Linked DNA regions of Caenorhabditis elegans. The protein of the gene in region 1 binds, or shares a complex with, the protein of each later gene. Each region holds a gene or a part of one and is shown in the gene's direction. Other genes may lie near its edges.

What was found. Proteins that work in one complex are often made in the same cells at the same time.
Region 2: pat-3 (region 1) and pat-2 share a complex: the UniProt entries of both Caenorhabditis elegans proteins name them as parts of the integrin containing attachment complex.
Region 3: pat-3 (region 1) and unc-97 share a complex: the UniProt entries of both Caenorhabditis elegans proteins name them as parts of the integrin containing attachment complex.

Annotation. Positions count from the first base shown.
Region 1 is NC_003281.10:3,907,117-3,916,868, reverse strand, and holds pat-3 (Integrin beta pat-3), read left to right. Parts: upstream 1-2,719; 5' UTR 2,720-2,739; coding exon 2,740-2,937; intron 2,938-2,992; coding exon 2,993-3,197; intron 3,198-3,814; coding exon 3,815-4,218; intron 4,219-4,316; coding exon 4,317-4,753; intron 4,754-5,309; coding exon 5,310-5,648; intron 5,649-6,207; coding exon 6,208-6,695; intron 6,696-7,128; coding exon 7,129-7,415; intron 7,416-7,468; coding exon 7,469-7,540; 3' UTR 7,541-7,938; downstream 7,939-9,752. Other genes in the region: mmcm-1 (putative methylmalonyl-CoA mutase, mitochondrial), read left to right, coding at 9,210-9,619. UniProt on the Caenorhabditis elegans protein: Integrin alpha ina-1/beta pat-3 is a receptor for laminin. Integrin alpha pat-2/beta pat-3 recognizes the sequence R-G-D in its ligands. Plays a role in cell migration, morphogenesis and probably in cell-cell interactions.
Region 2 is NC_003281.10:8,815,645-8,825,976, forward strand, and holds pat-2 (Integrin alpha pat-2), read left to right. Parts: upstream 1-3,254; 5' UTR 3,255-3,257; coding exon 3,258-3,430; intron 3,431-3,477; coding exon 3,478-3,715; intron 3,716-3,761; coding exon 3,762-3,885; intron 3,886-4,202; coding exon 4,203-4,614; intron 4,615-4,677; coding exon 4,678-4,907; intron 4,908-5,156; coding exon 5,157-5,632; intron 5,633-5,688; coding exon 5,689-5,825; intron 5,826-5,917; exon of another isoform or gene 5,918-6,009; intron 6,010-6,049; coding exon 6,050-6,244; intron 6,245-6,718; coding exon 6,719-7,430; intron 7,431-7,887; coding exon 7,888-8,724; intron 8,725-9,187; coding exon 9,188-9,334; 3' UTR 9,335-9,630; downstream 9,631-10,332. Other genes in the region: F54F2.9 (DnaJ homolog subfamily C member 1), read right to left, coding at 9,711-9,819, 9,963-10,272. UniProt on the Caenorhabditis elegans protein: Required for muscle development probably through the regulation of the actin-myosin cytoskeleton. Component of an integrin containing attachment complex, which is required for muscle maintenance.
Region 3 is NC_003284.9:5,589,961-5,596,543, forward strand, and holds unc-97 (LIM domain-containing protein unc-97), read left to right. Parts: upstream 1-3,172; 5' UTR 3,173-3,201; coding exon 3,202-3,344; intron 3,345-3,400; coding exon 3,401-3,513; intron 3,514-3,563; coding exon 3,564-3,684; intron 3,685-3,731; coding exon 3,732-3,884; intron 3,885-3,935; coding exon 3,936-4,179; intron 4,180-4,223; coding exon 4,224-4,348; intron 4,349-4,406; coding exon 4,407-4,554; 3' UTR 4,555-5,005; downstream 5,006-6,583. Other genes in the region: mec-2 (Band 7 domain-containing protein), read left to right, coding at 1-318; sulp-2 (STAS domain-containing protein), read right to left, coding at 5,976-6,151, 6,201-6,468, 6,520-6,583. UniProt on the Caenorhabditis elegans protein: Component of an integrin containing attachment complex, which is required for muscle development and maintenance. Probably function in adherens junction.

The DNA of each region.
Region 1 (9,752 bases):
TATTCAGTAACTCCGCCCACTTGCAAGCTGCGCGCGCAGTGTTTGCAAAGTCGCCGCACACACTTTAGGTTTTCGCGGGGGTTTTCAATTCACATTATTTTTCTTTATTTCGCAAAATGTTTCGTTTCATTTGTTTTTCTTTATGTTTTCCATGTTTCCAATCACTTTAATAATTCTTCTTCAAGTGCATATCGTTTGACAGCAAGATATAGCCCGACTAATAGGAAAATTAGCGGGGAAAAGTGAAAAAGAGGTGAAAGTTATGATATATTAGCTTGACAGCTTCAAACGCAGGTTTTGGTGGAGAATTCTGCATTGATAGAATGTTTCTTGAAAGAAAAGCTTCTTTAGCTCGTATTTCTCTTGAGGTTTAGCTAAATTAGCTTCTGGTGTTTCTTTATTCGAAAATAACTTCTATTTCTGTTAAAACAATTGGAAAAACGCTTAAAAAAACGTCGACAAACTATAAAATTTGAGCGTTTTTCTATTTTTCTAAATTTTATCATTTTATTTTAATGAAAAATATTATGAGAACATGCTGCACTGTCTTTATTTTGTAGTTCAGCTCTTTTCTCATTCAAGAATTCCCCAAAAAACTACATTTCATCCTCTTTTTGATGGTGTCGGGCCATCAAAAGTTGCTCTGCCTGAGTGATGATATATCCCCAGAGAGAATATTCCTCTTTTTCGGCATCTTTCATAATTTTGAATGCTGAATATCTCCACATGCCTACGAAAAACGGTATTTTTTCGGGAGAAAACTTTGTTTTAATTTGTTCTTCCGCCGCCCATCATCACCCACAATAATCATCGATCTCCATATATCCTGACTGCTGCTGTCCACACTCCGTTTAACTGCTTCTTTTCTCTGTAGATTCCCCTCCTGCTAACAAAAGTACCAACAGTCGACCCCTCTTCTCATTGTGTCTGTCTCTCCACAGATTCAATGCTCTTTTATTCCGGGCTAGTGCTATGATTAAACACACAAGGGCAATACGAACACAGAGAGACATAGAGACAGAGGATACTAGTATATGTATGCACCAGATGTCTTACTACTTGTCATCCCTTGGTTCCCTTCTTCGTTTTGTTCCTCCCAATTTCAATTTCAATTCAGTTTGGATTTTGAATTAGTTCCTATCAGATTGTTATCGATTTGATGGATTGGAGACGGGAGACGGTGGGCGTGGGAAATTTAGAACAAGAATGACTCAGACGCTATTATTTTCTACTCTTTTCGTTATTTAAGTGTTGAAATCGTCGTTTTTCACAATGTCTAAATTGTTATATCGTTGTATGATAACTTTTGACAGCCATTTTAAAATTAATTATACTTTGACATTTTAATAATTACTAGGTGCATTCATAAGCTGTAAGAGCAAGAATTATAGTTATCTTCAAAGTTTCACCTAAACTAGTTTACCAGGAACAGTTTTGATGTTCAGCAATGAGTTTAAACATTTTTGGAATAGCGGGAAGCTTAAAAATACCCAAAATAGTCAGAAATTTCATTAAACCACAAAAAAAAGAAGGAAAATGTCGATCTAGAATGTGAAATCCTTTTTTTTAGTTTCAGCTAATATCCCTGTTTGAATGTCTTCCAAAATGAGAATCCACTCCCACTTTTGAACCAAACTAACGATATTGAAACTATCGAAAAATCCCTTTCCTCACCACATCAAACCCCCTCCTGTGAATTTCGCAATTTCATCGGTCTCTGATGTCTCTAGAAGCTCCCGATTCTAACGCCTTTTCACCCATTTCCCTTTGGTTTTCTTCCCTTCGTCTTCTTTGTTTCTTCGACGATACAAGCAGGTGTAACTCTCGTTACACTTTGGTCCGAGCCCCTCTCCCGGCCAACATAGAGCACTCTATCGCCTACACTATCTCTTCGAAGAGCATTCTGCTGCTGGGTTGATGGCAGTTGTGAAGAGAGAGAAGGCGAGAGATGCTCCTGTCGAAGCACTTGGCAGATCCGCCCACGTTCCGAAAAGAGGTGATCGGTGGACGTAGTTGATACTTTTATCGATTTTTAAGGTTTGAAAAGTTATGTGCATAACTTCCAAAAATGTTAAACGGATGAAGTTTTATCCCGAAATCTCAAATTTCATACATTACACATGTGTGCCTGCAGATACCGAATTAAGTTATTGTTTCCCGAAAATACTGTACCCGGTCTCGACACGACCGATTTTTCTCAAATCCGAGTTGTCTGAACTCCAATATTCCTCGCTGCAAGTTTTTTTATATTTTCCCCCGAAAACTATGTAATTTTCTAACAAAAAGAACATGACTCCGTTATACTTCCCGCATTCACTCCGTTTGTTGAGTAAACAATAAATTTTCCTACTATGGTGACTAATATTTCAAGAAGTCATTTTCTTTCAAAATTTCCTATATATTTTTTATTGTATAACTTTTATATTATAACTTTTTCTTCACTGAAGAAATTATGAATTGGGGATGTGCCATTTTTAGTATGATATTCTTGATTTTTATATCAAAATATTTTTTTCAAAAAATCTAACTTTTTTGGAGAGCTTTAAAAATTTCAAAAGTTGTATGAAAGTTGCCACCTGTTGAAAGCAGTTTGATATCAGGTTTCTGTAGAGTTTCATCATCAATTTTTCTTATAAATACACCATTTTTTAATCTCACCGTTTTTTTTTCTAATTACTCCGTTCTCAATGTACTAAAAGCCAATTAATTAATTTTTCAGTTGAACCTACCCGGCATCAAATGCCACCTTCAACATCATTGCTGCTCCTCGCAGCACTTCTTCCATTCGCTTTACCAGCAAGCGATTGGAAGACTGGAGAAGTCACTGGAAAAGTCGTCGAAAAATCAGAATTCCCATGCTACAGTCTGTCACGTGACAATTACACATGCTCAGCGTGCATTCAATATCATGAATCTTGCGCGTGGTGTGGAGCACCGGTATGTTAAATGCTTGAGACCATGAATTTATTTTATTTAATAAAAAAAATTCCAGATGTTCGACGAGAAGAAGCCATATGCCCGTTGTGATAGCCGTGCCAAGCTCATGGAACATGGATGTCCAAACAGTTATATCGAGGATCCGGCCACAAAATTGGATATCACTGAAGACAGTAAACTCTCCGATCAAGGACAAGTTGAATCTGAGGAAGAAGCCGTTCAGATCAAACCACAGGAGATGTACGTCGAAATTCGGCCCAGTAAGTTTTTTATATGGTTTTCAAAGATAATTCGTTTAAAAACTCGATGAAAATAATCAATAAAATACAAAAAATTTTTTGGGGTTTCAGCAAAAAAAACGAAGATTTCAGGGTAATTTCGTAGTCTTAAATTTTCAGGAAAAATTTGCACTAATTAAAGAAATGTTTTTCATTGATTTTTCACAACAAAAACCGCTGAAAATCACATTTGAAAATTGTCTCAAAAACACTGAAAAAAAAATCGTACTGCATTTTTTTTGCGGAAAGTTAAAATATTTCCGGTTTTGGTTATTTTCAGCCTCTTTTTTATTTAATTTTTATCTTAAAAAGCTCCTGTAATATACAATTAAGTGAAGTAATTTATTATTATTATCATAATTCGTTGATTTACACATTTTAGGCTCGTTTGACTATTTTTGGATTTTAAGAGATTTTTGGGCTTAAAATATGCCTAAATCAACGAATTAATGATAAACTTCTAAAATTTGCAATTCAGGGTGATTATAAAATAAAAATTAATTAGTGACCGCTGCGACTCGAAAACTTGTAAAATCACAAGATTTTTCTCTAAATCCAGTTCTTCAATATCAACAACAATCTAAATGTTTTTTTTTCAGAATCCCGTGTTCGTTTCAATGTGACCTACCGTCAAGCCGTTGATTATCCAGTTGACTTGTACTATTTGATGGATCTCTCATATTCCATGAAGGATGACAAACAGAAACTGTCCGAACTCGGAGACTTGCTCGCCGAACGAATGAGAACTGTCACAAAGAATTTCCGATTAGGATTCGGTTCATTCATTGACAAGAAACTTATGCCATTCATCGATCCACGAATCGAAAAACAATTATCTCCGTGTCCAACACCATGTGCAGAACCATATGGATTCAAGCATCAAATGTCATTGACGACGAACACGGCAAAGTTCAAGGCTGAAGTTGATAAAGCTGAAATTTCTGGAAATTTGGATGCTCCGGAAGGAGGTTTCGATGCTGTTGTTCAGGCGTTGGCTTGTAATGTAAGTGGTTATTTGATTTAAAAGAAAAATTCAAAAAGAATCAAATCAACATTTTTGAGATATCGGGAAAGCTTAAAATCTAAAAATCAATATTTCAGAAAACCATTGGGTGGCGTGAACGTGCTCGTAAAATGATCGTTTTCTCAACTGACGCTGGATTCCATTTCGCTGGAGACGGAAGATTGGCAGGTGTCGTCGAACCAAATGATGGAACATGTCATTTAGATAGAGAAGGATATTATACTGAAACACTTAATCAAGATTATCCATCAATTGCACTTCTTCATCAAATGATCAAGGATCGTAAGGCAAATGTCATTTTTGCTGTTACAAAGAACAATCAGGATTTGTATACACAATTGTCGAATGCACTCCCAGATGTTTCATCGTCGGTTGGAGTTTTGGCTAATGATTCAAGAAATATTGTCGATTTGATTGAGAAGGAATATTTGAAAATTAGTGAAAAGATCATTATGGTTGATAATGCAAATGCTTCAGAAGGACTCAAGCTCACTTACAGATCTATGTGTTTGGAGTGAGTTTTTTGAATAATATTCAATTTAAATGAAAGTTGGGAACTTTTGAAAATTAAAAAAAAAACAAAAAAACGCTGTAGAAACAGATTGAGAAAGACCTCGATCATGTAGATTTACGCAGGCTTCGTGTACTCCACGAGAAGAAGCGTTTTTGGCTGAAATTCTGATTTTGGATTATTTTGTTACTTTTTTTGTATTTAACATTCAAAATTGGTAATATAATTTTTATTTATGGTATTTCAGGTGAAAATCTGTTAATTCGGTGTTGAAACCTTCAGATTCATCCGCTTTTACATAAAACAATATAAATAATTGTAAAATATCTACAATATTGCCCTCGCCGTGCAATTTTCAATATTCATTTTTCTCGAAATTAAAAAAAAAGTAATTTGAATCGAAAAATTGAGCTCTCTTAAATTCTCACGTTTCTAGACGAAAAAGTCTTCACATAAAATTGTTTTAAACTAAAAAAAAGCACAATTTTGGAGCGAAACTATTAAAATTATTACAATTTTATTCTAAAATTTGACCCTATAAATAACCGTAATTTTTCAGCGGAACCACACTGAAAGATACCAATGTTTGTGAGGGAATTCGTGTTGGAGATGAAGTTCAATTCGAAGTAACCCTTGAAAATACTCATTGTATCGATAAACGTGATTTTGTTCTCCGTATCGGACCATCTGGATTGGATGAGACACTTATCGTTAATGTTAAAGTTTTATGCGATTGTGATTGTGAACGTCAAGACAGAATTGTGACGAATTCGGCTGATTGTAACGGAGGAGATATGGTTTGTGGAGTTTGTCGATGCAAAGGAGGAAATGTTGGAAAATATTGTGAATGTAATAGACCTGGAATGAGTACTGCTGCGCTCAATGAAAAATGCAAAAGGTATGGTTTTTTTTAAAATTTAACATGAAAATTATGTGAGAAATAATTTTAAAAAATATATTGGCCGAGCAGTATTAAAAAAATTTTAATCGAAAAAAAAGCTATAAAACTTCTATGGCTGGAATACTAATCGAAAATTGATTGGAATAAAAATTAAGATCACAAAATTTTGAAATTCCTTGAAAATTTCCAAATAAATTGATTTTCTGTAGTTTTTTCTTTTTAAAAATTTCAACTGAATTTTCTCGGTTTTTTGGATAAAATTTGACGCCTTCGATGGAATCACAAGAAAAAACGAGAAAATCCATTTAAATTTGCCGGAAAAACTCCGAAAAAAAGGTCGTTGCCTAATCAGAAGTTTAAACTTTTGCTCGAAAATTTAGAAAATAATTTTTGCTTTCTTACATTTTTTAAAAAAATTCAGAGAAAATCAAAAAAATTGGAAAAAAAGTTAGAAAATTAACAAAAATTAAATTGTTTATCAAAAATGCTAAAAAATTTAAGCTATTTTTGTTTTCCGTTTTTTCTTTTTTAAAAATTCTAATGATCTAATTTCCAGAACTAACGAATCAGCAATCTGTGAGGGTCGTGGTGTGTGTAACTGTGGACGTTGTGAATGTAATCCACGTGCCAATCCAGAAGAACAAATCTCTGGAGAATTCTGTGAATGCGACAACTTCAATTGCCCACGACACGATCGTAAAATCTGTGCAGAACACGGTGAATGCAACTGTGGAAAGTGTATTTGTGCACCTGGATGGACTGGAAGAGCCTGTGAATGCCCAATTTCAACTGATTCATGCCTCTCTGCAAATGGAAAAATCTGTAATGGAAAGGGTGAATGTATTTGTGGAAGATGTCGATGCTTCGATTCGCCCGACGGAAATCGATATTCGGGAGCGAAATGCGAAATTTGTCCGACGTGTCCGACGAAATGTGTGGAATACAAGAATTGTGTAATGTGCCAGCAATGGCAGACAGGGCCACTTAATGAGACCGCCTGTGATCAGTGTGAATTCAAAGTTATTCCTGTTGAGGAATTACCCAGTAAGTTAAAAAAATATACTGATAAAGCAGAAAATCAATTTTTTAAATGTCAGAAACTTTTGAAAATTTTATTTCTGAAAAAAAAACACGTTTGATCGGAAAATTTAAAGAAAAAAAGATATTAAAATATTTTTTCGAAATATTGGAAAACTAAAACTTTTGATTTATCGAAAAATAGCTTGGAATTTTGCCCATTTTTCTTCTTTTTTTAAATGGAAATTTGATTTGATTTGTTAAAATATTACACTTTTTGTTAATTTTCTAAACGTTTAATCTTGATTTTCAGGAAAATAGAAACATTTTTTCTGAAAATAATGGATTTTGCCTTAAAATGTGTATAATACTTAAAACGTAAATATTGCAATTTTGCTAATTCTCTAAACCTTTTTTCTCGATTAAAAAACTTGAAATTTTGAAATTTTAAAATTTCCAGATCTCAACGAAACTACACCCTGCCAATTTGTGGATCCAGCTGATGATTGTACATTCTATTATCTCTACTATTACGATGAGGCCACAGATAATGCAACAGTCTGGGTCAGAAAACATAAAGATTGTCCTCCACCTGTCCCTGTGCTCGCAATTGTGCTCGGAGTCATTGCGGGTATCGTAATCCTCGGAATTCTTCTCTTGTTGCTCTGGAAATTGCTCACAGTACTTCATGATAGATCCGAATACGCTACTTTCAATAACGAAAGGCTTATGGCCAAATGGGATACGGTAAGTGACACGGAACAAAAAACATATAAATTTATCAAATTATCATTTTTCAGAACGAGAACCCAATCTACAAACAGGCCACGACAACATTTAAAAATCCAGTATACGCTGGAAAAGCCAACTAAATAGTTTTTATCCTTATATTTTAATAATTTTCCCAAATTTTCTAATATGAAAGCTCAATTTCTCCATCCAAACAACTCGAAACGAGTATTTAGCGATAAATTGTCACATTCTTCTTTGTTTTATTCAAAAAATCTCCATTTTTTTGTTTTTTTTTCCTTCATCAATTGTTCATCACACTGCTTTTACCCCATTCTAAATACGGATTTTTTTCTTCCTTCTCTATATATTGACTTGCTTTATATTCATCTTTCATTGCCTTTTGTCCCTCTTAACACCGACCAACAACTCACACACTTCTTGTACTATTTCCAATTTTCAATGGTGCTTTTATTTTTGAACTATCTTGTTCGAATTTTTCATGTAATATTAATTTTATATGAAAAAAATCTGAAAAATTAATTTTTTGTCTTTTTAATTTTTGGTTGAAACTGATATTAGCCATAACTATCTGAGAAGACATGTTAAATAATATTTTTAAATTATAAAAAGGAAAAAAAATTGCGCGTAAAGTGAGGAGCTTGGTGTTTGCATCCAAGTGCACAGAAAGCATTCAACTTGACGACAATTTTTTATTTCTTTTAATTTCTTTAAATTTTTTCGTTTAAAATTGGAATTCTTTTTATCCTATTTACCGTGTGGATTTTCAATTTTTCAGTTTAGAAGATTCCCAAAAGTTCGAAAAGTTTCAAGTATTTGACCCGAAGTGGTTTGACAACTGTTATTAAGCCTGATTAATTTATTTTTTGCATATCAACCGATTTAAAATTTAGTATTTACCACTTAAAAACGCTAGAGACTACAATAATCAAATATCTGACCCTCCTTCAAAGAATAAACAAGTTTTTTTTGACGTGAATTGTAGGATTGAAAAAAGAAAGATAGAGAAGTGACTAGACTTTTCTTAAATACGCACAAAAATGAGAGAGCGCAGAGATAAATGCTACTTTCAGTTTTGCACGCAGACACAGAGTCAGTTGTTGTTCCCCGAGTGTCCTCTGCGGCTTTTTATGCTAAATCAATGTTTCTTTTCGATAATTTTCAGTTTTACTTAAATAATTCGAAAGTTCTCTAATATTATTGTTTAAAATTTCAATTAAAAAACCGCCCATCTTCATTTTTGCGCTTGTTTACGATCTGTCAAGAGATTGACGGCGACTACAAGGTCTTTATTGTTTTATTTTTTGCTTTCTAAATTAGAATTTAAAAAAATAATAAGTTTTTCGAAGTAGTTTCTAGATTAGGGCGTATAATTGTTGAAAAAAAAAACACAATTCATAATCTATTTAATTTCAGTTTCACTGGATTTTTAAAAGCTGAAAGTCAAAACTGAAGGATTTTTCAAATTAACAAATCATTTTTTTTTCATTCTTCTAGCTCAATACGTGCCAAACGATTAGATCTTTTCAAATTTCACATTTTCTTTCTCTGGCCTATCTGTTCCACAGCGATTTCGTTGTTTTTGACAAAACTCGACAGCAGTGATCGGTTTTTTGGTCACATCGAAGGACTTGTGACACAAAAATTAGTTTTTATTTTTGTTAGTTTTAGTTTCGAAAACATAAATCAATTTTGCAAAACGTTCTCTCATGATTGTCTTCTTGAGTTTTTATATTATTTCCTTCGATAATATCAATTTCCAGATCATCACTGCCTTTCCACAAAGGCAAGATGTATCTTCAACTACTGAAACCCACACTTCTCCGATGCTCAACCCGTCCATCTTCTTCCGGAGCTTACACCCGCTCCCCAATCGATCAAAAATGGGCTGCCATGGCAAAAAAGGCGATGAAAGGCCGTGAAGCGGACACTTTGACATGGAATACCCCTGAAGGAATTCCAATCAAGCCACTTTATTTGAGATCTGATAGAGATTGTGATGCTCAAAGATCTGTTGAACTTCCCGGTCAATTCCCATTCACTAGAGGACCATATCCAACAATGTATACTCAACGGCCATGGACTATCAGACAATACGCTGGATTTTCGACTGTTGAAGAGTCGAATAAGTTCTATAAGGAGAATATTAAAGCAGGGCAGCAAGGACTTTCAGTTGCATTTGATTTGGCCACTCATAGAGGGTTTGTTTAAAAAAATCGATATGAAATACTCAAAATGGTCCCAAAAGTAGCCTAATCCAGCTAAATTCTCTAATTTTGTCAACTTTTCCTTGTTTCAGTTCTCGATTAATTTCAAATTAGTAAATTGTTATTT
Region 2 (10,332 bases), 4.9 Mb from region 1:
CCGCATTGTCAAAATTGTACAATTTCTTGTTCAAAAGGTGTTTCGAAATCGAAAACGTCGGGAAAACACACAGGGGTCCCTTTTCTCATATACTTTCCCCGGTTGATCCAACGTCTCTACGATCTAAGAAGAGAAAAAAAGAAAGAGAGATGGTAAGAGGGAACGTAGGCGTCTGGTGTTAGAGCATCGCGGTCATCCAAGTGATCTGCCGAGTCGAAGAGCCCTCGGGAAGAGAGCCCAATAAACAGTGTGTAGCAATGCGAGAGAGTATGAGCAGGCAGAATATCAACGATGTAAAGAAGGCAACTGCTTCTTCTTCTGCTGCTCCTGCCATCTCGCATCCTCCCCCGTGTGCCGTCGTCCCGTAGAGCACTTTATCCAGTCTCTCAACTTTCCGTTTTCTCTTCTTTTTATGATTTTTGATATTGATCTCATTGAATTTTTCTACAATTTTGCATATCGAGTTGTGAAATCTCAAAAAGTGGGAACTCATTATTTAAAAAAAAAACACAATAGCTACAGTAACCGTAGCTTCGTAGATTTTTTTCTCAGGGGATTAAAGCTTTTTAAAAAATTATTTAGGAGAATCTTTTTAGAGGACTGTACAATCGAACAGTTCTCAACATAAATCGACAACATAATTTGCTCAGTTCTGAGTGAAGAAATCATACGTAAAACTTGAAGTTTTAAGGTTCTTCGTAGGCCCTTATTTACGTCTATTATTCAAACCCTTCTTGACATTTTTTTCCAATAATAATAGGCTATCCCGCTGTTTTCTGAATTAAAAAGTATCAAGTAATCATCAAATGTTTTTCAAAAATCAAATAAAATATTGTGTAAAAACCAAGCTCTTATCTGATTTCAGACAAAAATTTGGCATTTCTATACTAAATTATAAATCCATCTAAAAAATTCCAACACCCAGCTTCTTCAGTAATTTTCCTGCAAAGAGTATATTGTTCATTTTCGACACTCTGAATATTCTCTGTCTCACCGAATGTCTCACATTCTTCTTTCAACAAAAAAAATTGTTCTCGCTCGAATGCATCATTGAGAATTCACTACCAACGGCGAGACCCCTATTCTTTCTTCAAAAAGTGTGCTCCATGAGCACCTGCACCACCTGCTCTTGGGATTCTTTGATTTATTATTCCTGGATTTGGAAATGAAATTTCTGGAAATTGTTTTATTGACTAAGATCGTATAATTCGCACAATTAAGTACTTTATTATAATAGTAAAATGCTTGGTTTTAACATTGATACCTTTGTGCGTCGCCGATTTGAATTCTATAAATGTTCGACTTTCCTATGATTGCAATTCTTGACAATCAAAAAGAATGATCGGTAATAAATATTTAATTGTTTTAGGTTGTAATGAAACGGTAATGTTCACCATGTATTAGTTGAAAAGCTATTATGAAGATTATTAATCTTTATAGAAGGGATTATGATTTTTTTGTTGCTTAGTTAGTCAACGTTACTTTTCACAAATGACCCATCAATTTAAGATTCTTTTTTCAAAACCTACCTCCTAATTTAACTTCCCTTAAATCTTGTCGACATCTTTTTTTTCCAAAAATTCATTTTCCTCCTAACCACCCAATTAATTCATCCTCCCCCCGTTCCCTCAATTTATCACTTGTTCCTCTCTATTCAAAACATGACCTTTTTGTCGGAGAGGGAACAGTCACCAGTCAACCATATCTTGGATTCTACTGACAATTACTTCATGCCCACATCCCAATACTCTCTATTACATGAACTTTTCACCAATATATAAAATGTTGTTCGTATACTGATGGGCTTCAAGTAGGCGTGATTTTTAAAACACATACTACAAATATTGGAGAAAGTGCCGTATTTGTTCTATTAGTATTGGTGCAATACGTTTTTGACCACAATATTTATGTACTTGAATTAACTAGATTTCACTGTGAAAACTGAAACTTTAAAAACTTTAAAATCTGTGGCAACTTATTGTCGAATTTTGGCAGGAAGTTTCCCTGATATTCCAAGTAGGTTCAAAAATTGAATTCAATTATCAAATTTTGGTCTGGTCAGATTGAACGTCTACTATTATAATAATTTTGCAAGTTTTTCAAAATATTAGAAAATCTCTTTGGTGTTTCAAAAATAGTAACTGCATATCTACTTGATTCCAAACTAATTGCTTCTCGTGTCCCCAAATAAGTGGTGCCTCTTCCTCCGCCCCCTTCCATCCTCCCAATTTCATCCTCAATTCATGCTTCCATCAATGTCTACGTCTCTTCGTCTCTCACACTCTCTCACCATTAGACATATGTTTGATAACTATCCGGAAACTGAAGAAACTATGTGTCCCTTCCTCCCTTCTCTATTTCAAACGACTCTTGACTCATCGTATTTTTCGGAAATTCATGGGATAACTATGAGTCTCCAGATGCCAGTTTTGTTTCGGAATTTCCTTTTTGTACGTTTTTCACAAACTTCGAATTTCTGATTTTTAACTCGTAGTCCAGCCAATATTCTGAATATTTTGAGGGTTCTCCGGTAATTTTAAAGATTTTCGAATGAGTACAACTCAAAAGCTAGAGGTTCCAGCAAACAACTTTCAACAGTCAAAACATTTTGAAATAGTTCAATTGAGCATTTGAGAAAATATTGTTGTTGGCTCTCGCTCAATACACAACAAATATTGAGATTTATGCAAAATTCGAATTGCTCCTTACTTTGCTTCTTCATCAATCTTGCTCCACGTGTCACGGGTCATTTTGTTCCCCCGTTAATTTCCGTTCGCTCACTTCTCCTGTTCGTTCAATTCATTTCTTGATATGTTCATGACTCAATGTGAGTGTGTCAAATGCTCGTAGAGCTCCCTTCTCAATTATAAATGACTTGTCGTCTTCGGAGGGTCAGTTCTTTGTTTCGCAATCGCGTGTGCTCTGTTCAATTCCATTTTTCCTTCCTTCCGGTTTTTGGAAAAGACACCGATTAGGCTTCATTGATCCACATGTTAACTGAGAATTTGAAATTATCTCAGTGAAATTGGTCGCTACTTTGAATTTAATTCATTTAGACATGAAAAACGTTCCAAAATTAAAATTCAAGCAAAGTTCTTTATTTTCCCTTTCAAAAATATTTCTTGGAACTTTTGAATTTGAGATTTTGAAATTTTTTTTCTATTCAATCAACTTCTAAAATCGTTTCATCTTCCGTATACTCGTTGCAAACTTCTTTCTGATTGTTTTCAAAAAACCGAATTCCAAATTTCCAGTAGATGCGAGAGGGTAGTTTTCCGCGAAGGATCGGCTTGCTTCTAGGCTTACTGGGCCTTTTAGCCGGAGTTGCCACCTTCAACATCGACACAAAAAATGTAGTGGTTCATCACATGGCTGGTAACTACTTTGGATACTCACTCGATTTTTACCATGAGCAGAAGGGAATGCCTGTGTAAGTTATTGAATTAACTGAACAGATTTTACATTCAAAAATTTCAGCCTCGTTGTCGGTGCCCCTGAAGCTGAAAGCAATAACCCAAACCTGGCTGGAATCCGAAGACCTGGAGCAGTTTATGCTTGCTCCGTGAACCGGGCAACATGCCGAGAAGTCCACGTGGATAAAATGAAGGGAAACTTGAAGAAACTCAATGGATCACATCTTGTTCCAATTGAAGAAAAATCACATCAATTCTTTGGTGCAACTGTTCGATCAAATGATAAGCATGATAAAATTGTGGTAGGTTTATTCTGCGGAGTTTGAAAATTAAAAATTAAATTTCCAGGTGTGTGCTCCAAAATACACATATTTCTACTCAAAATTCGAAGTTATTGAGCCAGTTGGAACCTGTTTCTATGCTGAAAATGGATTTGATAATGCGGAGGAGTTTTCATCGTGCAAACAAGAACGTATGTTTTGGGGATACTTAATTGGTACTGCAGGGGTACTGTAGTTTTGGAAAAAGGAGTTCGAGAAAAGAAAGTTCTGGGAAGTTCTAGAAACTTCTGAAAATTTTGAGGAATTGCAGGAATATTTTAATAGTTTGAAAAGTTTCTGCAACCCTCAAGACACTGTTAAAAACGTCTTAAAATTTTGAGATTTTTTTGGAAAATTCTAGAAACTTCTAGAGGCTCCTGAAAAAAATCTGAAAATTGTTGAACCTTTTGGAATAGTTCAGAGTTCGAACAATTGGTAACTTTATAAAAAATTAGATGAAAAATTACAGCTGCTCGCCACGGTCGTCATCGTCTTGGATACGGTCAGTGCGGATTCTCGGCTGCAGTTCCAGGAAAGAAGAATCAAAATCGTGTTTTTATTGGAGCCCCCGGTGTGTGGTATTGGCAAGGAGCAATGTTCTCACAGAACATCAAAAATCAGACAGACCGCCCGAATACCGAGTACGGTAGCAAGGAATACGATCACGATATGATGGGATATTCTACAGCAACTGGAGATTTTGATGGAGATGGTATTGATGATATTGTTGCCGGAGTTCCACGTGGAAACGATTTGCACGGAAAATTGGTGTTATACACGTCGAAACTGAAGATGATGATCAATTTGACTGATGAGGTGTCAACTCAACATGGACAATATTGTGGAGGATCTGTTGCAGTTGCTGATGTAAATAAAGATGGGTAAGTGAGATTCACAAACACATAAAATTACAATTCTCTAAATATTCTCTGTATTAATTTCAGACGCGACGACATTATCATGGGCTGCCCATTCTACACAGATTACGGTAGCGTGAAAGACGCAAAAACACAAGAAAGAAAACCACAATACGATGTCGGAAAGGTCATTGTGATGCTTCAAACTGCTCCAGGAGTCTTTGGAAAACAGATTGCAGTTGTTGGAGATGATCAGTGGGGACGATTTGGACACGCAGTCGCAGCAGCTGGAGACTTGAATTTGGATGGTTATAATGGTAGGGATTTTGCTACTAAAAATGAACGAATTTGAATTTCTCACAGAAATTATTTTACGCGGAAATTCAAATTTAGTTTTCGTATTTTCACTTTTCTTTTTCTTAATTTAACAATTTCTTTAGACATAAAAAATCCTAGATTATCGGAAATTTGTGCGGCATTTTGAACTTTCAATCTCATTTGAACCGCTATGGAAATTTATTGCATTTTTTGTTGGAAATTTTAAATTACAAAATAGTGTTTTTCAGATGTAATTGTTGGTGCACCATATGCTGGAAAAAACAAACAAGGAGCTGTTTATGTGATCCACGGATCCAAAGATGGTGTTCGCGAACTACCAACTCAGAAGATCGAAGGAGCCAATATTGGTCATGGAAATATCAAATCATTTGGCTTCTCCCTTACTGGAAACGAAGATGTTGATGGAAATGGAATGCCAGACATTGCAGTTGGAGCATGGAAATCTGGAAATGCAGCTGTTTTACTCACAAAACCAGTTGTCACTGTCACGGGACAAACTGAACCAGAGAGTGCATTGATCAGTGTAGAAGATAAGAATTGCGATGTTGATGGAAAATTGGGAAAACAGGCATGCAAACATATTAATACATGTTTCAAATATGAAGGAAAAGGAGATACACCAAATGATTTGGAATTTGATCTTCGATTCAATCTTGATGATCATTCTCCTGAACCAAGAGCTTATTTCTTGCAAAAAGATGTGGTAGGTCACTTTTTTAAAACTAGATAAAAATTTTTAACACAATAATAATATTTCAGAAATCTGACAGAAGCATTAAAGTTGCACAAGGATCTAAAACAAGAGACCATCCATCTTCAATCGAACAACGTGTTCGTCTTGAGAAGGGACGACAAAAGTGTTTCAGACATCGATTCTTTGCTTCTTCCACAATGAAGTGAGTTTTCAGAGAAAATATTTTGATTTTCTTTCAAAGTTTTTCAACTCAAAATGACCACAACTTTTTAAATTTTTTTATCAGAAAAAATTGAGAAAATGTTTGCTCTGCTGTGAAAAAAAGTTCAAGGCTAATTTTTGAATGTAAAATAGTTCGTATGCTTTGCAAACCTTCAAATTAGAAAATAAAATGTTTTCTAAAAATCAAAAATAAAATAATTTCAGAGACAAGCTCTCCCCAATTCATTGGTCCGTCAACTACACATATGTTGAATCAAAAACCGGAAAACTTCGTGGTGATAAGCTTGAACCAGCAATTGACACAACTGTACCACTTTCATTCCAAAATAAGATTAATATTGCAAATAATTGTGGAAAAGATGATCTTTGTGTTCCTGATTTGAAGGTTACCGCTGTTGCGTAAGTTTTTTTAATTTTCAAAATGATCGATAAAAAGTGTTGAAAAAATACATTAAATATGCCATTTTTTCATTGAATATAAAAGAAAGGGAAACATTGAAAATCCTCATTACAGTAAGTTTGAAAAATTATTGAAAAAATGGGTTTGTCTCGAAATGTTTTAATCATTACTCTAATTTTAAAATTTTCAAAAAAATATAAGGAAATGAGCGAGAAAAATTGAATATAACACAAAATACAATGTAACCTAACTCGACAATTTTCAAAACATTTTTTATAATGAGACAAGTTCACAGCCATTTTTAAAATGTTTGCTTCAGGATTTTCCTGTCAAAATAATTCCACGAAGATTGTATGTTTCTTTTCTTCACGGAATCGGCGAAATTTTCAGTGAAATCATATCATTAAAATAATTATTCCTAAACCTATAAACCAAATGCCAGCAATTAAATTCTTTTAAACATATTTTTTCAGTGATCGTGAGAAATTCCTTTTGGGAACTCAAGACAATACAATGCTTATCAATGTAACAGTTCAAAATGGAGGAGAAGATTCATATGAGACAAAACTTTATTTCGATGTTCCACAAGGATTCGAATACGGTGGAATTGAAAGTGTTGGTGGAGATGGAAGCAAGTCTGCTCCAGCTTGTTCTCCAACTTCCGATGAACCAGATTCGGATGGAAAATGGACTTTTGCATGTGATCTCGGCAATCCACTTCCAGCTAACAAAGTAGTTAGTAGTGTTGTAAGAGTGACTGCTTCTTCTGATAAACCTCCACTTGCTCCAATCAGTATTAATGCTCATGTGAACAGTAGTAATGATGAAGAAGCTCATACTGTTGCTGATAATAAAGTCACATTCACTATTCCAGTTGATTTTAAGAATCAATTGAGTTTGAATGGTAGATCAAATCCCGAACAAGTCGATTTCTCAATGACGAACAAAACACGTGTAGATGCTTTCGATGACAATGAAATTGGTCCAGTTGTTTCACATCTTTATCAAATCAGTAATCGTGGTCCATCTGAGGTTGACTCAGCTACTTTGGATATCTTCTGGCCATCATTTTCCACTGAAGGAGGTCATCTTCTGTACATTATCACAGAACCAGTTGTTAATCCACCAAATAAAGGAAGATGTCGGGTCAAACAACTGCAAAATGTTAATCCATTGAATTTGAGGGTACGTTTGAATAATTTTTAAATTTCTAGACATTACTTTAAAGGTACACGCTGTTTTTCTGAGTGGGTCTTGCCACGATCTCATAGTCGTTGCAAATCCCCAATTTCTGTAGACACTGAATTTTATAACTCTGTACATTTAAAATTGCAGTGAAATACGGAAGGAACTATTTTGTTTTAGAAATAGAAGTAAGAAACTTTATCATTTTTAGGATAAAATTCAAATTTCTTGGGAAATTTTGAAGAATTGTTTTCGTCAGTTTCTGAAATGTTTAGAATCGGCGAGTTAAAAAAAAATATTGGAAACAATCGAATATGCTGAAATATCACAAAAAAAATTGATTTTCCGGTTCGGGCTGACAAACTTCACTTTTTTCAATTCAGAATCCTGAACATCTTATTTTATAAATGTTCACAAAAAATTACTGTCGCACATTAAAAACGAATTAAAATTTCAGATAACAAATGAGCATGTTCCAACTGAACCACCAGTTGCCAAGACACCAAATGAATATTCAAGAGAAGAAGATGATGAATCATATGAAGATGAAACAACAACTCAATCCCAATCAACACGTCATCAATCTACACAACATCAAACTCATCATCAATCTGGTCCAGTACATGTATACGAAAAAGACGAGGAGAAGATTCGTCAGAATACTGGAAATTGGCAATATGTTGAGGATAAAAAGAAGAAGGGAGATTATGAATATATTCCAGACGATCAGGAATATGATGGAGATGATTTTGAAGAGGAAGATGATGAAGATTTTGATAGAGCTGGAAGTAAGAGAGTTAAAAGAAATCCAACACCAAAGAAGAAGAAGAAGGGAGGAGAACACCGTGGTGAACCAAGAAGTGATAAGGCTAGATTCTCTGATCTTCGTGAAGCTGTTAAACTTTCGAAGGAAGCTGGAGGAGTTGTTGATTATAAGGGACCACTATCAAGAGCATCTGTTGATTGTAATTCATTGAGATGTACACATATTGAATGTGATATTTATGATCTTAAAGAAGACGAGTTTGTACTTGTGGAAATCTTCTCTAGATTATACACAAACACATTGGTTGATGAGAAAAATCCTGGAGGAGACATTTCATCGTTGGCTCTTGCTCGTGTCACATCTACTAAATACAATCTTCCACATAAGCCAACATTGATAACAGCAGTATCTACAAATATGAATGCAATTGCTTCTGAAGAAGGAAGAGATCTTCCTTGGTGGCTTTATCTTTTGGCTATTCTTATTGGACTTGCCATTTTGATTCTTCTTATTTTACTGCTCTGGAGGGTGAGTTTCAAATTTAATTTTCAAAAATACGATTTATTACATAACAACATAGATATTGGCTTGCAAGTTAAATTAAAGTTCTTTCGCCAACTTTCATGCTTACTTGTGACGCAGCAAAAATTATATCTTAATTTCCAATTTTGTGAAGCGGTTTCTCAAAGCCTCATTGATTTATTCGGATGGGCCTCGCCGCGAGAAAAGTTTATGGTTCAAACTCTGCCATTTTCGAAAGGTAAAAAATGATTGTCACAAAGATTAAGAAAAACTGAATTTAAAAGAAGTTGCCTACGACATTAAAGCTGTGCTCACACGCTTTCGAAAATTTCACAGCAACGTCCACGGCGAGCTTACGTCGGGGGTACTGTAGAATATAGGTAGATCAGAGCGACTACAGTATACAACCAATTTCGAAACAAATTTACAGTTTCCCTCAGAAAATAAATAATAATAATCTAATTTTCAGTGTGGTTTCTTCAAACGTAATCGTCCACCAACTGAGCATGCAGAACTCCGTGCCGACCGTCAACCAAATGCTCAATACGCTGATAGTCAATCCCGTTATACATCACAAGATCAGTACAATCAGGGACGTCACGGACAAATGCTATAATATTTTCCATTTTTTGTTCCTTATTCTTTACTATTCACATCTGCGGGTGTCTTTTTAAAATTATCATTTTGGTCCCAATTTAGTCCTCTTGTCGTGCCTTGCCCCCCAATCTTACTTTCATGTTCGATCGTTTTTCGGAATCTCCGCTCAATTTGGTGCTTTATATGTTCATATTATGTTTCTTTGTTTTCCAATTAATTACCAATACATTGACATGTTTCTAGTCGATATTTTTGATGTTTTTTCTTTTATTATCATCAATTTATTAATAAAAATTTAATAAATAAATAAATATTTAAAACGCGTCTAAAACAATAAATTTTGGAATTTCATCAAACCCGACCAACAAAAAAACGGAATAAATATTATGACAAAACTAGGTATCATTGGTTTTCTTTTTTCGAATCATCTCAGCCAATTGCTTGAATCTGACCATCACTTGTTTCTTCGTTTTGCTTCCAATTTCTTCGGAGATTCTTTCCCACCTGAAATTTAATATTTAAAACATTCCTCTGGATATTATATTATGGGGACCCAGAAATTTTACCGTCAATACCTAACGAAACCCAACGCTTGGAGGATGAGCGTTCTCAATTTCAAAATACCCATTTCTAGTTTCCAAGCTAACCTTTCATCAGTTCCCTTTGGATATTTCTGCAATGCGGTTTCAAAAGCCTTCTGCTCAGCTTGACTCCAATCATCTTCTGATTTCTCTTCAACTGGTACTGATTGTTGAATAGTTGTCATCAACAATTTCGTATAATCCTCTTGCTTCATCTGTTTCATTTTTCCAGCCATTGCAATAACGTCTTCTGCACTTCTATTCAAAACTCGACCCATTTGTTCCCAACGATTCGGTGTTCCAGCCGGGTATTTTTCAGTGCTCAGTCGAACCAGACTAGCTAATTCATCAGGCGTCCATGTTGCTCCAGATTGTTCTGAAATTAAAAGATCATTGAGTAGAGTTCAGAAACCTTTTTTCTGATAAATTAACTTAC
Region 3 (6,583 bases), on another chromosome or scaffold:
TTCTTCACGCAGACTCCATCAAATGTGGTTTCCAAAACTATAATGGCTGCATCCAGTGATGGACAGAGTATTCAAAGCCTAGGAAGTACCGATTCAAATGCGACAGTAAGAGTTGAAGATGAGATGCGGAAAAAGTTCGTTGCAAGATTTGGAGTACGGAAGGCGCCAATAGCACGAGAAGAAGATCCAGCAGATCCGAAGCATGGAAAAGTGATGGGAAGTCAAGAAAGCATGAACTCTACAGATTCGAGGGAGTCCGTCGTTTCGGCGGCTTCAATTAAAGCGGAAGCATTGGCTCGCCGAAATTTCAACTACTAGTTATACTTGCATCTTCTTCTCCGCTTTCCGCTTCTTTCTGCACATCACAGTGAGTTTGAGCACATTTTTTTCAAAAAAAGGAACTTATTTGGAAAATTTCTCCAGTCAGTTTAAAATACTAAATTTAGTTTCAAAAATAAGTTCCTATTGTTATTACGTTATTCAATTCAATTACGTTTCCAATTGTAAATTTTTCAGCACTTCTGATCCGATAGGCAAGCCGATCAAGGAACGGTATAACTTTAACGAAATGGACCGTAATCTTTCCGCACTGGTCAAACCACTTTGGGCAGGAAATGAAAAAGAAGATCGTGCTGAAAAAGACGATAGTACATCATCTTGATCTGCTCCGGCTCCCCTCCCTGTCTGTGTGATTCTTTTTGTTTCTTTCAATTTTATCCTATTATTCCAATTCAACGCTGATGCATTACTATTGTTGTCATATTTCATTTCTGTCATTTTTTAATCAAATGTGCTGAACATTAAAAATTATCTGATCTCTTGAATCCCTTGTCTTGTTTTATGAATAAAAGTAATATATCAAAAAAAAAAGTCGAATGGAACTGCTGAAAGTGCTCCTTTTAGTGCGCATGATATTTTTCACACATATTTTTTTTGAAACGGTTTTGATCCGTGTCCAGTATCCATATTTGATTTTTTTAAAAGAAATTTTAAAAAGTTTGTGTAGACAATTCAATGTTTAGTTTTCCCTTTCAAGCTAGTTTTCACTAACAGGAAGATGCTATAAAACTATGAAACGAAAAACTTCAAGAAAAGGAAATTGAAAAATTGTGATCTACACAAATATTTTTCTAACATTTTCAAATGTGGATGATGAACACCAGACATTCGTGGCAACTGTAGACCAACTATTTTATAAAATGAGCCAGTTTGGCATGTGCTCACAAACTTTTTTATGGAAATTCAGAATATGGAAAACTACTTACTTTCTCTGAAAATAAGATTTTTTTAGTTGGGAAAATAGGACATTTTTGAAAGATTTTTCATTTGATGTTTTAACTTTCGGATTAATTGTGAGCACTTTTTAAATTGTTCCAACTGAAATTAAAAATATTTTTAGACAAGCTAAAGATTTTTCGATATCACTGAGTTTCAATTAAAAAATTTTGAGAACATGCCACACTGGTTCATTTTGTAGAAACTCACTTTGAAACTTATAGATTTGTGTAATAAAATACTCAGTTTAGAATTTATACACTGCTCCGAAAAAAGTCGGTCCAAAAACCTCTGTTATCGGTTTACGATCTTCTAGAAAAAGCGGTGGTATTTCTCAACACTGCGCACAGCTGTTTGGCAGGTGGAGGCATTTCTACTGGCAGAGGACCTCATTCTATAATGTCATCATTTCAAAGTTAGTCATTGTTTTCAAGCTACAATTTCTGGATTTTTGTCATCCTGATATATGATACTAGCTCATGATCAAGGCCAGTCGTAAGAATATAAAAACACAAACGAAGGTCAGATACTGAACATTTATCTGCCAACATTTGCGGGGTTCGTACTTTTCAACCATGTCTTTTGATTTCTCATATCTAAACTGATGATCCTTTCTTATTCTCACAACTGTCTATAAACATGTGTTAGAAAAAGCTTGTTCCTGCCTGTTCCGAGTATCAACGAGCAGCAATACTTGGCTATTAATGTGACCCTACGCACGCAACCCGATTGTATGCGTCTCTTCGAATCGCGCACTCTTCCCGGAGTCGTTACGTCTGCGGCCGTAGTCTGTGACCCCCCGCTTGGCTGTCGGCCAACCCGCCGCGCGCGCATTGCCTCTCGCTTTCTTCCACTCTTTTTAGTTGTACATTCTGCGCACTTTCTTTTTGCCCAGTAAATGCCCATATCACTGTGTGAGGAAAGTTGATTTTCAACAACTATTATCATTTTTAAGGTGTTGTTTATAACTATTACTATGTTTAAATATAATTCAAAACTTTATAGTTTAGCCGTATAGAAGTTGTATTGAATTTTTGGTTTCATTTTTACAACTAGTTTTATTTTTAAATGCAAACACCACAAAAGAAGCATTGTTGCTTTCCTCCGTTGCATCTCAAAACATCTGGTGTAATACATGTATCACATTTTGAAGCGTGAAATGTGCCGCTTCACTGAATTTTGTTATGTAGAGTAGTACATAGAAAGTCAAAAAAAAATCGAAATAACTAGTTCGAATTTTTTCCCATTTAAACACACGATATCCCAACCGATGTTTCTGAAGAATCTTTTTTCTGTTCCCAATCAATACTGATCATCAACACATCGGATACACGTCTCCCTCTGTGAGTTAGTCAGGGAAGCTGAGGCATCCTGTTGAATCTGTTGTGCAGCAGCACTCACACACATACTTTTGTTGTTCACTTATATCTCTATCTCTTGGTTCGTTTTCATTCTTTACACAAAATGCAATGGCAAAAGCTTCCACGCCACCGCCTCCGAGTTCTTCTTACACATATGTCAACCCGTCGCATCCTATACCTTTGGCACATTTGCCTCTTCCTTGAGGATTTCTTCTTTTCTACTGTTTCACAGCCCCCTCGTATAATACCTCCAGTGTTTTTACGATTCTTAGAATATGGAAATTTCTGTGTTTATGCAAAAATTTACTTTGCATATAACAAAATGTAGATATGAAATTCTGACTTTTTGTGCTCTTTTCGATTAACCAACATACCTAACCTATACACACTATATGCTTTCTCCGGCTTTCCCTTGTTTGTACATATTTGTCTTCATATTACTCGCTCGCTTTCTTTTCTTCTTTCCTACCCCCACCTTTTTCCTTACAAACCCATGGTCGTTAAACCATCCTGTGTGCATAGTGGCCAACTTTCAGTGGTTCAATAATAGATGGTGTGTGGCGGAATGGATTCCGACCACAACCATATCAACGGGGATCTCGCCCATGGCTTCGAGAACATGGTGTGCGTCCGTTGTAATGATGGTTTTTCGATGCAAGATCAGATGGTGAACTCTTCCGGGCAAGTATGGCATTCGGAGTGTTTTGTGTAAGTTTTTATAAGTTAGAATTAAGAGAACTCAAAAATTGCAAAAAAATTTTTAGATGTGCTCAATGCTTTGAGCCATTCCCAGACGGCATCTACTTTGAGTATGAAGGACGAAAGTACTGCGAGCATGACTTCCATGTTCTGTTCTCACCATGTTGTGGAAAATGCAGTAAGTATCTTTGAGAAGACACGCAGAGCCATAAATGTTTTATATTCTAGACGAGTTCATCGTTGGACGAGTGATTAAAGCAATGAATGCCAGCTGGCATCCGGGATGTTTCTGTTGTGAGATTTGCAATAAACAGTTGGCCGATGTCGGATTTTTACGGAACGCTGGACGGTAAGTTGGAGAGCGTAAACGAAGCTCGAAAGAATTTCAATTTTCAGAGCTCTCTGTCGCGAATGTAACGAACGGGAAAAGGCAGCAGGTCATGGACGATATGTGTGCCACAAATGCCACGCAATGATTGATGATGGACAACACATCAAATTCCGTGGAGATTCATTCCATCCTTATCACTTTAAGTGCAAACGTTGCAAGTAAGAATTTATCTTGTTTTACAGTATGAGTTGAATTTAAAAAATTTTCAGCAATGAATTAACGACAGCTTCTCGTGAAGTAAACGGAGAGCTCTACTGTCTCAGATGCCACGATACCATGGGTATCCCAATTTGTGGAGCATGTCACAGGCCGATTGAAGAGCGTGTCATCGCGGCACTCGGCAAGCACTGGCACGTGGAGCACTTTGTCTGTTCCGTCTGTGAGAAGCCATTCTTGGGACATCGTCACTACGAGAGAAAGGGACTTCCATATTGCGAACAGCACTTCCACAAGGTACTTGAAATATGAACAAGCAAACATTAATAAGTTTGTTGCAGTTATTCGGAAATCTTTGTTTCAAATGCGGAGATCCATGTTGCGGGGAAGTATTCCAAGCTCTTCAGAAAACGTGGTGTGTCAAATGTTTCTCCTGCAGTTTTTGTGATAAGAAACTTGATCAGAAGTGAGTGCAAAACTATTCATATGAACTTGATGAAAACAAATTAATGTATGCATTGCAGAACGAAATTCTATGAATTCGATATGAAACCAACATGCAAACGATGTTACGATCGGTTCCCCACAGAATTGAAAAAGCGCATCTCAGAAAGCTTAAAGGACCGCGACGTTGAAAATCAAAGAAGATCGATGAGTCCTGGACCAAAATAATAAAAAAGAAAGAAATAAAGGAGTCCCCGTAATTCATCAATTTCCATTAAAGAAGTAATACTTTCCAAATGCCATTGCTCATTTCTCTTTCCCATTGTTTTTAATACCTTGGTGCTAAAAAAAAACATCGTGAAAATTGTTATCAATCCGTTTTGTCTTTTAAATGCCTTATATTTCAAAACTATTTTTCGGTCACACAAAAATGTCATTGTACTCATTTCTAGCTCCATAATTGTCCTTCCCCTTCCCTTTCCCAGCTACTTTTTGATTCAGAAGCCTTCTGAAAACAATCATAACTTTCGACCAAATTTTTTGTGTTCCTATCCGCAAAAACTTTGCATCTTTTCTCGGGTGTCATTATTGCATAACTTGATTTCTGAATTTTTGTACTATTTTTTTGTTCAGAAAAAAAATATTGACTGTATTGAAACAAAATCGTATTGTAATATTGAATCCTTTTTTTCGGCATCAACAATCAATTTGTAATCAGTGATCAACAGGAAGGTGAGTCCATAGCGCCCGGAGAGATATTTTTGGTTCAACTTGAAACGTGTTAAGTGAGAATTATACTTTCCAGTGTCAAAATGTTTGTGAAATTTCTAAAAATACGAATGAGCCAGTAGAAATGATCGTATTGCACTTGAAATTCTCTTGGGAATTTATTTGTTGAAGCTTCAAAATGTGAAAGAAAAATTGGGCTATTCCAACAAAAAACGACTTTCATCGTTTTTTTGCTCAGCAAACTCTGTTTGATCATTTTACATAAAGATGAAATAGAGTCGATGATTTTTTTTTAAATTCAAAATGACAAAAAAAATTCAGTTTCCAAGAAGTTAATTTCGTTAAAAAATAAATTTTCAATTATCGATTATTTGAAGAATTTCCAACAAAATTCTTCTTTTTTATCAATTTTTTTTTTGGTTTTTTTTTGTGGAAAAGTCTAAAATTTTGTAAGATTCTGTTATTACTCAAAAATCACAAAAAAGGACAAAAAACTGACACAACTGTAAAAAACAAACATATCAAAATTAGGTAATTTAGTTACGCGGGTATGGGAAAATAATTCAATACTTTCTATTTTTTTTTGTTGCAAAATTTAACAATTAATTAAAAAATTCAGAAAAATTCAATGATTTTTTAAACTGTTGTGCTTATTATAGTGCAACTTTTTTCCAGTCATTGAGACCAAAGAATCCATAGATGTTATTCCATCTTTTTCCAAATTTTATTTATTGACAAATATCTAATTAGTTTAAAAATCTAAAATCAAACCTCAATTTACGGTAACTTTATTGAAAACTTGAAGCATGAGCAAGTTTAACAAAAATTTCAAATATTGACCCAATAATTACACATATTATGACCCATATGATTAACAAGTTGATCAATTGATAAAACTGATAAATAATGATCTATGTATTCTAAGGCACAATCTTTTCTGGCGGCATACTTTTCTCGCAATCAAAAAACATTTTATGATTTTTAATTAATTCGTGAGCAGAATCCAGCGCATCTTGAATGGAGGGATACATTTGATTTCTTCCAATATTCCCTTCTCCAATCAGGCCAGCATTTCCATATTGTCGTCGGAGTGATGCTGAAATATCCCAGCTAAGGTTATAATTGTTTAAAAATTTTAAACTCACACTTCAGATTTGCAAACAACAGGAGTATACGAATTTGTCGTAATTCTTCATTAATTTGCTTCACCGCAGCAATCCCCATAGAATCCGTATAAATCCAAGTGTGGCAGTCAAGAATGATTGCACTCCACTCAATATCCTCTTGGGAATCGCAACTCGCGCTTCTCTTTTTTGTGGTGGCTGATGTCGAATCGCGAACGTTATCGAGAAACTTCTCAACGTTTGCGAAAATCAGTGGTGCATCAAATCTAATGATTCGGAACGATGTTTCCTTGAAAAATAAGTTTTTGGAAAAAAGTTGTCAGAGGGAAATTAAATTTACCTTTGCCAAGCTATAGTGATTCATTGGTCTAAAATCATTTGGTCGGATTTGCCCAAGAAGTTTA